Linked DNA regions of Pelodiscus sinensis. The protein of the gene in region 1 purifies or fractionates together with the protein of each later gene. This does not show direct contact. Links are inferred from orthologs where the notes say so. Each region holds a gene or a part of one and is shown on either strand. Other genes may lie near its edges.

What was found. Proteins that work in one complex are often made in the same cells at the same time.
Region 2: the proteins of MYH9 (region 1) and ENKUR purify together in Homo sapiens (affinity purification with western blotting; 4 studies listed by BioGRID, with this or other methods). This does not show direct contact. The link is inferred for Pelodiscus sinensis from reciprocal best matches to the Homo sapiens genes MYH9 and ENKUR.

Annotation. Positions count from the first base shown.
Region 1 is NC_134711.1:93,418,187-93,425,928, reverse strand, and holds the start of MYH9 (myosin-9), read right to left. Parts: upstream 3,011-7,742; 5' UTR 2,863-3,010; intron 1,871-2,862; exon of another isoform or gene 1,735-1,870; intron 1-1,734. UniProt on the Homo sapiens protein: Cellular myosin that appears to play a role in cytokinesis, cell shape, and specialized functions such as secretion and capping. Required for cortical actin clearance prior to oocyte exocytosis. Promotes cell motility in conjunction with S100A4.
Region 2 is NC_134712.1:224,794,610-224,801,912, forward strand, and holds the start of ENKUR (enkurin), read right to left. Parts: upstream 3,012-7,303; coding exon 2,896-3,011; intron 1-2,895. Other genes in the region: uncharacterized protein LOC102450762, read left to right, coding at 3,506-3,509. UniProt on the Homo sapiens protein: Adapter that functions to localize a calcium-sensitive signal transduction machinery in sperm to a calcium-permeable ion channel.

The DNA of each region.
Region 1 (7,742 bases):
TGAAATAGGATTTATTGCATCATTTAATAAGGCATTTTTAAAACAAGATCAATAAAATATTGCTTCATGCTCTCTCATTGCCTCCTACCAGTCAGACAGTGAGCATTTGGATTATCAATATGCCTGAGTGCTTTGAACATTTGTGCGTGAGACACATTTATAAACAATTAAAGTACTAGTTGCTCCTTACTACAGACTTAACACAAGACCTTCACTTCCTGGCATTTTTCATATCAGGGAAACAAATGCTTAGGAGGACATATGGGGCATGTTTACACTGCAATTAAAAACTCAGACTCGCAGAGCTAAAGGTCTGTTCAAGTGCAGTGCAGACACTGGTATGCAGCCCAGATTTTGTAAATATCCCATCTTGGTGTGGGAGAGTTCAAGTTTTTAAATTGCAATGCAATCCCCCCCCCCCCCAAAAAAAGTATGAAGCCTCCAAAGTGAAGATATATGTACAGCACCTTCCAGTGCTACCTTATGGATAAATATTTTCCTGAACTTTTCATTATTTCAGAGTCGCTTTACAACATAGGTTTAAAGCTGTGATAATACACAGACTTGTTTTCTTTAGTCCATTTTAAGGAAACCAATCAGAAGACATCTAGAAAAGAAATACTGTACATTTTCAACAGCCACACCCTCTCCAAGAATAAAGAGGTCAAGTTGACAAGGGTCTAGCTCCGTAGTGTCCAACACACTAGCCACATGTGGCTATTTGGCCAGGTGAGTGTGGCTAGTTAGCTATAGTAGTAGCCATTAACAGTAGTAGTTATTGTTTTCAAAACAAGTTGGACACCACAGGTCTAGCTACTTAAGTCTTAGAGCAGTAGACATGTTGTTTTTAAAGTTACAGACTAACAAGTTGTCCCATGGCTCCTTAGAGACCAACAAATACATAGGATTATGAACTGAAAATTTACAACATCAGATCTCGGCAAGACAAGTTAAACATTGAGAGAGAACACTACATAAGGCATTCAACCTTGTCTGCACTCTTCAGACTGGCTATGACCCATACATTTCATAGCTATTTATCTGGCACCATTCATGATTCTACACCAATTTTCAAGAAAACTAATGAAAATCTTAGGCAGGCACTACAGAAAAAAAATCTCTTTTCTACAAAATATACATATCTGTTGAAGTAATGCTCAAGAAAAACAGGCCACCCTAACTAGCCTCTATTGATGTGAAGTTTCAATGAGAAGGTAAACTGTACAATTTACTACAGACATAGCTTCAGAGGCAGTTTCACATGGCCAGAATTCCCAGCTCAGTAGTATCATGTGCTTATTAGGGCTGTTAGCATTATCCTGCACAATTTCAAAATACTTAATTACTAAAGTAGCTCCACTTTCATGTATTAATTTTCTTCCAATTGGTACCTCTCAACATACCACATAGTAGAAATATTTGCTTATCTCAGCTAAGCTTAACATTTGAATGCCCCAACTCTAGCAACTCTGAGCATATGAGTCAATACAAAGCTGTACCAAGGTTTGCTTTCACTGGAGTGCCACAACCAAATTAATCATAGTTACCTGGTGATTAAGTTATAAATTATTCTTTATACAAGTGGTAACTAATCAGAGGGGTTTCACCTCTTAAAACAAGTAACTCGGAAGTCACCTATGCTGATTTAAAAAAAAAAAAGAGTTAAGGATGTGAGTTTCAATTTCAGAATCATGGTTCATAAAACTCCACACCTCTATGCAAATTACTCTGTACCTTCTTTACAGAGAAGGGCAGGGCGTCATGGCTTGCTGATTCGGATTCCTTCTAGAATAACACCCATTCAGCTTCGACTCTCAAACCCGTCAGTTTAGGTAAGACAGGCCTGTTAAATAGTCTCCTCCGCAAAAGCCTTTAGGTTCTTAGCCCAGGCTTGGGGCGGCAAGGACAGAGAGACCCACTAACAGGAAGCACTGCAGAGCCGCACAAAGGTGATTCAGCAGCAGGTCCGGGATGGAAGAGGACACTAGTAGCCATTGTGAGAACTGCCTCCTTCCCCTGACCAGGGCACACGGTTACCATCACACTACAGCCTACTCCACAGCACAAGCTCCTGCCTTAAGGCGCATGTCACACCGCCGGGAGGCAGCTCAGGACAGGAGCGCGGATAAGCTCGCGGGGGTGCGCCTCACCCCCAAGGGCCGGGGGGAGGGGAGGGACGCCAGTGTTTGTGTCTGCCCCAGGCGCAGGTCGGCGGGTAAGAAGGCGGGAGGGTGTCCCGGTGGCGGGTGCTGGATCGGGGCAGGAAAGCCTCGCGCTCTCGGCGCACTGGCAAGCTGCATCTCGCCCCGCCACTCCCTCCCCGCGGCGGAGCCAGGCGAATGAGGAAGTCTGGGTCGCAGGGCGGAAGCCAAGCCCGTTGCAAGCGCCTTGCCGCGGGACTGTCAGCCCGTGACTCAGGGCGGGAGCCCTGACAGCTGCCAAACGGTCCCTTCGCCCGCCCGTTACTCTCGCGCGCTGGAGGGGGGGGGGGGGGGGGGAACCCGCGCGAGCGGCACAACCCCCCCACCCGCGCGCCGGCAGGGAACGCCCGCGGCACAGCGCCACCGCGGCGGAAAGGCGCGGGCACGTGCTTCGCTGCCCCCCGGCCCAGGGCTCGCCCTGCACGGGACGCGGAGGGGGCACCTCCGTGACCCTGACCTAGGCGCTGCGCCCGGGGCGGAGAGAGGAGACGGCAGGTAACGGCTGCGCTGCCAGGCCGGGCGAAGCCGCGGGCGAGACAAACGGCTCCCAGGCACCGGATCCGAACCGCCCGACCGCCCCAACCCGCTCTCAAAGCCGCTAGCGCCAGCCCGAGACCCGAGCGCTGCGTTCCTCGTCCGCGCCCCCGCCCCCGCACCTCACCTGAGTCCAGCCAAAGCCTGCGAGAAGCCGCGGCGCCTGCTCCTGGCGCTGAGAGACTGATCCTCGGGGCCGGCTCCTTGCACGGACTCGCCGCTCTGCTCCGGCTTCAACGCCTCTAAACTCCCCGGCACTGCGAGGTTTCAAGCCGGGGGGGAGCGGCCGCGGCCAAGCAAAAGCCCCGCCCCGTTTCCCTATCGCCCACCAATAGAAACACCGCTTGCTCCTGATTGACTTCGACCGCAGCCAACAGCGGCTGAGGAGGCGGGGCAAGTGGCGCTAGGAAGAGGGCGTGGCGTTCTAAGCTCCGCCGCTAACGCTCGAGAACAAGCGTCACTCCGCCCCCAAAGAGCCCAGGCCAATGGACGCTGAGTCAGGGAGGATGGTAGATTGACATGATGGCCAGCCAATAAGAACTAGAATAGGCCGCGTTTTGTCAGGCTGGCCCTGCCAGAGTCAGATGAGGTAATTGGCGGGGGCGGGAGAGGGGACGACAACTTTGTGGGGGTGGTAGAGGCTTCCCATGCGTGCCCCACATTCACCTCACTCCAGTGATGTCCAGCCACACTCCCACAATCATAGCTCAGCCTCTAGGTGGGTGGTGCCTGGCCTGGCCCAAGGCCATTCATCCCATATGCCTTGCCCCAGTCTGGCACCTCCTCCACCAGAGCCAGCCAGGAAATCCCTGGGGCAGGTGCTACTGGGCCCATCCTGGTGTCACCTTTTCATTCCTGTACGTGCAAAACCATAGGCAACAATTTTCTTTGCTTGCTGAAATTTCAAGAGCTGAGGTGACCACAGAAGAGGATGAGGTCATAGTCAAGATTAGAAGAGAGAAAGATTAAATCATGGCTAAGACTTTCAGAAGTCAGTGGCAGTGAAATGTGAGCAATGTTGCAGAAGTGTTGATAGGAAGCTTGACCTATTTATTAGTAGGTTTATGATTACTGAAGAAATGGGTCTACATGTTTTGTAGTCTTTAAGGTGCTGCTAGACTGTTTGTTGTTTTTTACATTTTCCCAGTTACAGACTAACTCTGCTGCCCCTCTGAAGCTTTTGTACTATATAAGTATCAGGCTTTTTTCAGGTAAATAAAAATGCAAGGTACCACCCACGTGGAGCCTCTCACACAAGCGTTATGGGGTAAACAATGTCATGGGCATAGACAATGTAACAGAAAGGTTGAGAGTAATGCTAAGCTGATCAACCGAAAAGGCAAATGAAAGGCTTAAGCTGAAAAAAAATGAAGAAATGAAAATGTGTTTGAACAAGCATTTCTTGCCCAAGAGAAGCACTTCTGTCTTAGATTTATCTGAAGGAAGTTGGAACAAAGTTACAAGTTTATTTGATCAAGACACAAAAGGTGGAGTAGAAGTCGCTAAAGGTGGTGAAAGATACATATGGCTAAGTAACAGGGAGGTAAAAGATACAGATGAGTGAAAAGAATTCTGGTGGAAAAGACTAAGAGGGCTGCAAATTTAACTGTGTGGGACTCCATACAGGACAGATCTTGGCCTTGAAAATGAGCTATCACCAAAGACAGAATGCAGGGGAGGCAGGACAAGAGGGAACCAGGGACACCTGCATAATCAACAGTATTGATATGGATAAAATGATGGAATGGCCCATTATATCCAAAGATACATTTAGGAAAGAGAAAGACATCAGCGGCATCATAAAACAAGTCTGCTTATTACTGGAGAGTAGTTAACATAAGAATTGCCATAGGGTATGTCTACACTACCCCGCTAGTTCGAACTAGCGGGTAATGTAGGCATGCCGCACTTGCAAATGAAGCCCGGGATTTGAATTTCCCAGGCTTCATTTGCATAAGCGGGGAGCCGCCATTTTTAAAACCACGCTGGTTTGAACCCCGTGCAGCGCGGCTACACGGGGCATGAACTAGGTAGTTCAAACTAGGCTTCCTAGTTCGAACTACCGTTACTCCTCATTTCACGAGGAGTAACGGTAGTTCGAACTAGGAAGCCTAATTCAAACTACCTAGTTCGTGCCCCGTGTAGCCGCGCTGCACGGGGTTCAAACCAGCGTGGTTTAAAAAATGGCGGCTCCCCGCTTATGCAAATAAAGCCCGGGAAATTCAAATCCCGGGCTTCATTTGCAAGTGCGGTATGCCTACATTACCCTCCTAGTTCAAACTAGGAGGGTAGTGTAGACATACCCATACTGAGTCAGACCACAGGTCCATCTAGACTAGCATCCTGTGTTGGAATGTAATAGTGCAGTTGATTGACCAATTAACTGATAAGCAAAAGCTTATAGGTTAACTCTAAACTACACGCATTTCCCTCCCTCGGCAACAAGTAAATTTTGTAGCAGGCTGGCCAGCAGCCTGGCTCAGTTCTGGCTCATGCTGGATCTGGGACCTGCCCCCATTGTGGCTCTGCACTTTAAGTGTATTAGGAGCTAGGTGGGCAGGCAGCCCAGCTCAGTTATGTTTCGTGCTGGGTCTGGGAGCTAAGGACCCCCTCCCCCCCAACAGGGGTTGCTGCCACCTGCACTACTGTCTCTTCATCAGTGGCAGCAGCACAGGGTGACAAGCAGCCAGTCTGCAAGAGGAGCTGGTTTTTAAACTAGCTCCCCTAGCAGATTAGTTCCCACCTACCACCCTGCACTGCTGCCAGGCCTGCCCACGGGGACTATAGAATAATCGACTAACCGATAAGAATTCATGAGTACATAAGAACATAAGAATGGCCATACTGGGTCAGACCAAAGGTCCATCTAGCCCAATAGTCTGTCTGCCAACAGTGGCCAGCGGAGGGGGCAGACCAAAGACAATGATCAAGCGATTTGTCTCGTGCCATCCATCTCCAGGGACACCATTCCTACCCCTGGCTAATAGTCTTTTATGGACCTAACCTCCATGAATTTATCTAGCTTCTCTTTAAACTAGAGGTTACTTGACTATTTAATTAACCAATATTTAACATCCCTCATCCTGTGTTCCAACAGTGGCCAATACCAGGTGCCTCAGAGGGAATAAACAGAACAGGTAGTCATCAAATGATCCACCCCCATCACCTATTCCCAATTTCTGGCAAACAGAGGCTAAGGACATCATCCCTGCCCATCCTGGCTCATAGGCACTGATGGACCTATCTTCCATGAACTTATTTTGGGTTTTTTTTAACCCTGTTATAGATTTGGCCTTCACAACATCCTCTGGCAAGGTGTTCCACAATTTGGCTGTGTGTTGGATGAAAAAATACTTTTGTTTGTTTTAAACCTGCTGCCTATAAATTTCATTTGGTGATGCCTAGTCCTTGTATTATGAGAAGGAATAAATAATACTTCCTTATTTACTTTCTTTATACCAGCCATGGTTTTATAGACCTTTGTCTTAGCCTATCTTAGTCATCTGTTTTCCAAACTGAAAAGTCTCAGTCTTGTCAACTGCTCCTCATATGGAAGCCATTCAATACTAGAGATGTGAAGGACTAGTCAACTATCCGATAAGCAAATGTTTATCAGATATTCGACAAGCTAGTCGACTAGTCACTTCCCCCTCCCCTTACTGCCTGACACCAGGCTCCCTATAGCATTTAAAAGCTGCAGTGCATCATGGAGCCTGGGGTCAGCAGGGGAGTCCTCAGCTGACCCTAGGTTCTACACTGTGCTTTTACCTTTGAAGTGTAGCAACATCCCTAGGTCTGCTGCTACACTTCAAAGGCAGAGGCACCTTATCAACTAATCAAATAGTCGATGCAAAATGCATTGACTATTCGATTAGTCAATTATTCACAATTTAACATCCCTATTCAATACCCCTAATAATTTTTGTTGCCCTTTTCGGAACCTTTTCCAATTCCAAGATATCCTTTCTGAGATGGAGTGACCACATCTGCATGCAGTATTGAAGATGTGAGCCTACCATGGATTTTTATAGACAATATGATATTTTTCTGTCATTTTATCTATCTCTTCCTTAATGATTCCCAACATTTTGTTTGCTTTTTTGACTGCTGCTACACATTGGCTATTTTCAGAGAACTATCTACAATGACTCCAAGATCTGTTTCTTGAGTGGTAACAGGACCAGGTAATTTAAGCCCTATTATCTTGTATGTATAACTGGGATTATGTTTTCCTATGTGCATTACTTTGTATTTATCAATATTTAATTTTATTTGCCATTTGGTTGCCAAGTTATCCAGTTTTGTGAGATCCCTTTGTAACTCTTTGCAGTCGTCTTTGGACCTAACTATTTTGAGTAGTTTTTCTATCATCTTCAAATTTTGCCACCTCACTGTTTACTCCCTTTTCAAATAATTTGTGAATATGTTGAATATGACTGGCCCTATTACAGATCAGTTTAAATTCTGTGGCTGGAGTGATACTGGGATTGAAAATGGTCAAAGATACCAGTGTGCAGTAGGCTATTAAAACATGATAGGAATATGCTTTCTCAACCACTTGGCTGAGGAAGAAAAGACAAGTGGCTGTTTGGTCCCACGGGATACTGAGGCCGGCCTGGAGGCAGGCCCTAGGCCTGGTGACAAGCACATGAGGTCCAGAAGAGCCACTGCCACTTCAACTGGGGAGGTCATGATGCCTATGGCATGATCTGTGGTGCGTTGCTCCAGCATCACTTCTGAGGTCTGGAGCGATGTGTGCGCCTTCTGGAGGCATAAGATTCTGCCTTCAAATTAGATGTGTATTCTGACGTGGACCAGGGTGGGGTAGAAGCCAACAGTGCCAGGGATCAGTGCCACAGCGAGGAGGAGTGATGCCTCCTCCTTCTTGGTTTCTCTTGATGCTGGGCACTATCAGTGCTATGGAAGCTGGGTGTGTTTGTGCCACCGTAGACACTGATAATGATGCCATGGCAGTCAGTGCTGATATTGGTGCTGTGATAGCTGGTG
Region 2 (7,303 bases), on another chromosome or scaffold:
CCAGCCAATGGGAGCTGTGCAGCACATGGAGACCCGCTACCCTCCTCATCTCCAAAGGGCGTGCCACTCAGAGACACACATGTTGGCCCTACCAGCCAGCGCTTTGAATGGCATGTGGGGGCATGGCAGCCAGGGAGCCTGTCCTAAGGTCCTGCTGGGCTGCTGGCTGGGAGCTGCCTAATGTATGCACCTCCTGGCCAGAGCATGCACCTGGCACCCTACCTCCTCTCATATGCCAATTCCCTTCCCCAGGTCAACCCAAGCCCTCTGCATGCTCCCCTGCACTCCTGCCCCGGGTCATAATCCAACCCTCTGCACTCCTTCCAAAATTCCTCCCCCAGGTCAGAATCTTCTCTTGCACCCAACCCCCCCATCCAGACCCTACACTTCCTCCTGTATCCTAATCCCTTTCCCCAGGTCACAACTCCTTCCATCACCCAAACTCTCTCTCAAACCCCATACCCGTTCCAACACTCCAATCAGAGTTCCCTTCTATACTCAACTTCCATTTCAGATTCCACACCATCTCCATTAATATAATAGAAAAGTGCAGCCTATAACCACTTACCAAGTTCTTGGAAGGATTCCCTATAACAAATTATTGCACACCTCCATGGTACTTGTTAATGACATAGTCTATACTAAAAGGACCACTGGTCAGAACTGGAACAGCAAGTTCTATGTTCCAATACCATATATTTCTTATATGGCCTAGGGCTGTTCCTGAAAAACCGAAATCAATAGCAATTTTGTCATTGGCTTTTGTGTGTAGATTAGGTCCAAGAGTCCAGGCATGGAAGAATTTATATACTATATGGCCCATAATACTGGACATATCTATAATGCAATAAAGTTGTTCTTGAGAACAGCACCCTAACTTACTTTGTTCAAGGGGATGCTTATGTATGTGACAAAAACCTAAACAGAAACAACAAAAACAGCAACAAAAGACATGTGGATTTATGGCAGAGATGGTGAACCTTTTTGGGGTTGGAGACTGTGTCCCACAGAAAACTCAGTTGGTGGCCTCACAGAAGTGAAGCAAAAATACAAAACAAAACAAAACAGCACTCCTCACTGACATCACCAACTGAGAAGGAGAAAGGCACTCCCCACATTCCACTCATACACTAGAACCTATGGTGGCCCAGGGTAGTAGATTTTGTGGTCTTCATCCCCATGGAGGGGCAGCGCGGAGGGGGGAGGGAGGCTGGAGTGCCAGGGCAGGCTCCCCAGTGCTGGGGGGAGCCCTGAGCCTCAGGGGCCAGATCCAGACAAGCCAGGGGCCGAATTCATCTCCCAGGCCTGACGTTCAGCACCCCTGTTTGATAGGTACATCTATCTTTTTGTCAAGATATGGATTCCTTGTGGTATCAAAATGCAGTACCCCAAAATGCATTTATGTTAATAATAATACATAACAATAATACTGAGATAAAAACAGGAGTGTATTAGACAGTCATAGAACAAATTGTACCAATCCTCCCAAATGGCAAAACCCTAAGCTGTTACCAAACAGCATGTGACACATTTTCACATATGATAAAAGCAACAAAAAGAGACTATAATACAACCTAGTTAATCAAAAAAGAACAGAAGGAATTGCTTTGGTTAAACAGGCTCAGCTGAATGGGAGTCATGGTAGCAGCATTATCAAAAATGTGCACAGAAGTAAAAGTGTTGCAAGGGCCAGCCAGATCACTTATTTTTATTACTGTCTTTAGATGGGGGTGATCTAAAAGACAGGGAAATGCCTTCAGGTTAACAGGAAGATTGGGATTCAAAAGATTCACATAAATAGCACTCTACTGTACTATTGTGTTTTCCCTGAAAATATTTTGTGTGGCTTATGGTGGAATACAAACTAGACACAACTAGACCATGAATAAGAATGAATGGGCAGAGCAGGTTGCAACTACCATGGCTCACAGTTTATGAAACTACAGAGAGAGACAGAGAGAGAGAGAGTTCTGTTCTTTGAATTAAGATGAATTTCAATTTCCCCGCTAGTGGTCCTTATGTTTTTGATCATATAAATAAGAAAGGCCTCACATTTCCCTAATATGGGGAAAGGATTTTTCAGAATTGTTGAGGTTTTCATTTAAGAATCTGCTTCCTTTCATCAATGCAAGCTAAGTTACTGAGGACCAGAATTTGAGGTCGTGGCCTTTGAATTCAGGGAAGGAGATAGATATTTCCACTTATATGACTTTAAAAATTAAAAACAAACAAACAAAATGTAGAGCTTTTGAAAGGTATGAGAAGAGTTTTAGAACAGCTACTCTCCTTGATTATTCTTATATTACATCACTGGATTTTTCTCCGCTTCCTTCCCAAATGTGAATTAGACAAGTCCCCTTTTATGTGCTAAATGTTTTGTGTAACTTACAAGAAAAAGTGAAGGGAGTGATTTCCCAGTTATGGAAGACACAGACCATAGGGTATTGAGGGTAGTACTGCAACAGAATTTAAATGAAAAGCTCAGGGCAGGAAACACCTTTCTCTCTATTTTGTAGAATGCCAAGAGCATTGTTGGTGTACATTAAATAATAAAACATGAAAAGATGAAAGGGCCTGCAACATGCTTTATTTTTCACTTACAGATGCTGCAGAGCCCAGAAGTGTGACAAATTAGCAATATGAACCTCTACTTGAGCAAAGACTGGATACTCATTCACACTTCCATTTATTTTATCAAAGGAATGTGCAAAAGGTTATATTCAAACTGGTTTTTACATAGTAATATAATGATTAGTTACAAGTCACAGCAAGTGTGTTATTTGGATATATATTTACAGTTTTGTCATATCAGTTCCCCACGTGAGCTAATAAAAATTGGAGTGTATGACTTGAGACAAAGTTGCAGAAGAAATTGATTCTTTCTCTCCCACATACCTTGGTAGTTTGACAGGCTTCTCCTCCACCCGGGGTAGGAGATTATATATGCTTTCTTGGGCGCACAGCGCGGTCATCCTTGGCCTGAGCAGGCCCTGGGGGTGGTACATTGACATTGTACGTGCACCCTTCAGGTTTGCCCCCTCTCTCTCTTCTCTGCCATTTTCTCAGCCCTCCTTATCTCCCTCCACTTCTCCCGCCCCTCCCTCCTTCTCTCTCCCCCGCCGCTCTCATCTCCAGCGCTCCTGCGACTTCTCTCTTCGCTGCCCCCTCCTGGGACCCGCTCCCACCCTTCGCTCCAGCCCCCTGCCCCTCTGCGCCTCATTCCCTCCGTCCCCTTCACCCCTCGCTTCTCCCCGCTGCCCGCCCCCGCCGGGAGCTCCCCCCTTCCCTCACCCTGCTCCGCTTGCCTCGGCTGAGAAGATGGTTCTACCAGAGAGCTGCCTACTGTTGTCTCTTCCGTTGCTATGGGAAGCGTTGCTTAGCAACGCTGGTGTGGAGGGACTGGGCTATTTGTGACCTCATTTCCTTCTTCCTGAGCCCGCGAGTAGTTTGGGAGTGGGAGAGAAGAAAAAGATGGAAGCCGCGCACGCGCACTAAGCTGAGCAGCATGGGTGAGTCCCCCCCCCCCAGGCGCTGCGCAGGCGCACTAGTATAGACCTAGGACGGGAGGCGGTGCCGCGGAGGGCGCCCCACACTGGGGAAATAATTGCGCACGCGCTGTTGCCCTGGAAGACTGCCGATGCGATTGCTGCGCATGCGCAGCCTAGAGGCGGGCGAGGTGGTGCCGCGGAGGGCGAGGTTGTGTTTGCACGGCGGCACTTTGAGGCTCACGTTGCTGCTAACGTGCGGGCTCTGAGCCGTGCGCCAGGCCCGGCGCGGCCCTGCCCTGCTGCTGGGTACGTCTGACCCTCAGTGACTCCGTTAAGGGCTCAGACTGAGTTTCTGGGGCCGCTGCCCGTCCTGGAGGGCGCTGCAGCGGCGAGGTAGCCGGATCCCTGGGCGAGCTCAAAGTCCGTGCGGTGCTGCCGATATCCCTCCGCCCCCGGAGGGATCCCTGTGGGGCAGCCGTAAACTCACCACATGGGGGGGGGGTCCCTATAGCAGCGGGGGTTCGGCTGCCTTAGCTCCCCCTCCCCGCGCGGGGGTCCCCATTGCAGTGAGGAGCAGCATCCCCCTCTGCCTGTGACAAGGGGCGCTGCTGCGAGCGGCACTCTTGCCTCCTAGATGCCGCCCTGTTCCAGCCCCGAGAAGTCTTTGCCCTGGATGGGTGGTAGGGGGAAACTCGGGATAGTTACAGGGGCATAGTCTGGAAGGCGGTTTATTTTGAGGGGCGGTCTCTTCCCCCACACTGTGTAATAGCTAACCTTTGCTTGCTTGCTTTCTGTTGGTTTAATTTTTTTTCACGTGAACCAGAGAATGTCACCAGGACATCCTTTATTTTGAACTGGTAGCTTGCAGTCATTGTAAACACTTCAGACCTATAGCACCATGCTTGGAGCTCCCTATTTCGCTTTCTTTTCAGGCTGGCAACCCAGTTTTTGAAAACTGTTGCAACCCTCTAACACTTTCTATAAGTGTCAAAATGTATCTGTGATCATAAACCTATGAAATTTATTGTGTGTGTGTTTGAAGAGCTTGGCAGAAAATAGGGTGCGTCTATACACTCAAAATAAGATTTGCTTATCTTATTTCAAGTCTATTTCAAACTAGCTTATTTTGAAATTTGGTGCATCTACACAGCGCCAAATTTCAAAATAACACACTTCTTGGAGACCTCCGGGAATGACGGTTACATGGATGTCGAAATAGCATGCTCATTATTTTGAAAAATATTTTGAAATAATGGGTGGCTTGTTAAAACATGGGGTAGCTATTTTGAGATACCTCCGGTATCCTGATATAGCTGCTCCGTGTAGCTGTATCCATAGATAACCTGGAGGAGTATGGGTATGAAGGAGTGAGACAGTAGAAGAGGGTCACCTATGCAAACTCAAAAACATTGAAGATTTTGGCCCCAACATTATTCTGGAAACTTTCTTTGCTTTAGAATTTTAATAAAATGTTCAGTGCCTCACAATCCCTTTGATTGTATTTGGTGACCTCCCTTTGAACTGTGACCTTCCAGTTAGGAAACATTGCTCTATGTCAAATAGTGATAGAAATGTAGCCGTGTTAGTCTGGGGTAGCTGAAGCATCTTGTTAGTCTTTAAAGTGCTACATTGCCCTGCATTTTGCTTCTGCTCTATGTCAGCGTTTCTCAAAGTGGTCCACAGATCCGCTCTGAGAAACCTGTTAACTGGCCACTCCGGTTTGTTTATTTACTGGCTCTGTAGCCACAAAGCCTTGTGGCCCCCATTGGCTCTTGTTCACTGCTTGCAGCCAAGGTGAAGCAGCGTTGGTTGGGCCACCACTTCTGGTGGTTCCCGTTGGCTGCAAACAACAAACCAGAGCTAATGGGAGCTGTGAGGCTCTGTGTCTGCAGCGCTAGTAAATAAACAATCTGGAGCAGCCAGTTAGCAGGTTTCTCAGTGTATCCGTGGACCTCTTTGAGAAACGCTGCTCTGTGTCATTACTTTTATAGTGCTCATCACCACAGTACTTTAATATCTACCTATTCTTCTATTTACCTCCTCTATATAATTTGTAATAATTTAAACTGCCATTCCATTTATGAGTTTTCATTTAGGTCCGCTGTTTCCTATCTTCCTTGTGTTTGTGCATAGTTCTTTTTAGTAATAATTCGTATCCTTTTTTTATTTTAGAACTACTACATATTCTGCCTCATTCTATATGTTAGAAGTACATGTTAGATAATTTTAATTAAATCAGAACTTTACATTTGGCTCTTTCCAGATATTTTAAAGACTGCTTAATAAATGCGTTCTAGCTTTGAATCCCAGAGATTTATACCCAGAGCAGCCCCTGTTTGAGCCTCCCCCCTGTTCTGCCCATGGTGAGTGGTGTGCTGCTCCAACCCCCATCAGCCAGCTGGTTATTTTAACCTTTCACATCCCTGAATTATAGTATATTGAAAAACAAACAAAACCTCCTAAGTGTATCCTGGAATCTGTTGTGTCCATTTTCTGCTTTTTTTTTTTCAGTGCAGGTAACACCACCCCGCTTTGGACTTACATTCCCACATTTTTTTTCCCCCTCTACTGAATAGTTCCATTTTGGCTGACATTTTGTAATATCCCTGATATTGCTTTAGGATGTGAAAAGCTCCTCAGCTTATCCTTTTATGTCGCATTGTAAAACATCACATAAGCCTGCAATTATATACACACATATACCCCCACCCCAAAAAAATTACATTAAAAGAAAATTAAAGTTGAAATTTTCAGTAATGAGAATTTAGGAAGTGCCAAAATTAAGATTCTGTGCATCCTTAGTTTGGTCCCCTCGTCTGTGCATTGTGATATGGTCTTTAATTTTATGATCATGTATTTTACCACAAGACCCCAGCCTCATTCAATGCACAGGATAAATGGTGTTCACTGAATGGATACCTATTCAATATTTGATTGTATCTTGGTCGTTCAATGTATGACTCCATGGCACTTAATACTGCACACCCTTCACAGTGTGCTCTGAATATATTTATTCATTCTCTCATGGGCTTTGTTATGGTGTTCTTCAGTTAAGTGTCTGAGGTCCCAAACCTGAGGTATTTAGACTTCTCATTGAAGTCAGTGGGAGTTAGGCATCTAAATATCTTTAAAAGTCTTGGCCTGAGTCCTTCTCAAACATTGATACATTTATCTTCACATCTCAGTGGTTAGGTAAAATGGCAGTATTGTGCCCATTTTACAGATAATTAACTGAAGCATAGAGATTAAGGTCAGAAATGTCTGCTAACTTTGATTGCCCAATGTGAGAAATCTAGGGTTTGATTTTTAATATTAATGTGGCATTCTATAGCACTTTGTTTGCTCAGAGCAGAATTCCCATTGAATTCAGTTACAATTATATGTTCAGCACTTCTGCAAATTAGGAACTAGGTATCTCAAGTTACACACTCAAAGAACAAGGAAAAACATCAATAGATATTCATAGATTCTAAGGCCAGAAGGGATGATTATAATTGCCTTATCTGACTTACTGTACAGCACAGGCTATAAAACTTAATATCTAGAACATACCTTTTAGAAAAATATCTAATCTTGATTTTAAAATGTCCCATGATGGAGAATCCACATGGCACTTCGTAAATTGTTCCTGTAGCTAATTACCACCACGAATAAAGAGTTACACCTTGTTTTCAGTCTTAATTTGTCTAGCTTCCACTCCTAGCCATTGGACAGTGTTATATCTTAGGACAGTTTTATGTGCTGCATGGGGAGTGCACATGGAGCCACATGCATCCCCAAAGTGAGAGGCCAGAGCCAGCTAGAAGGGGGAGGGC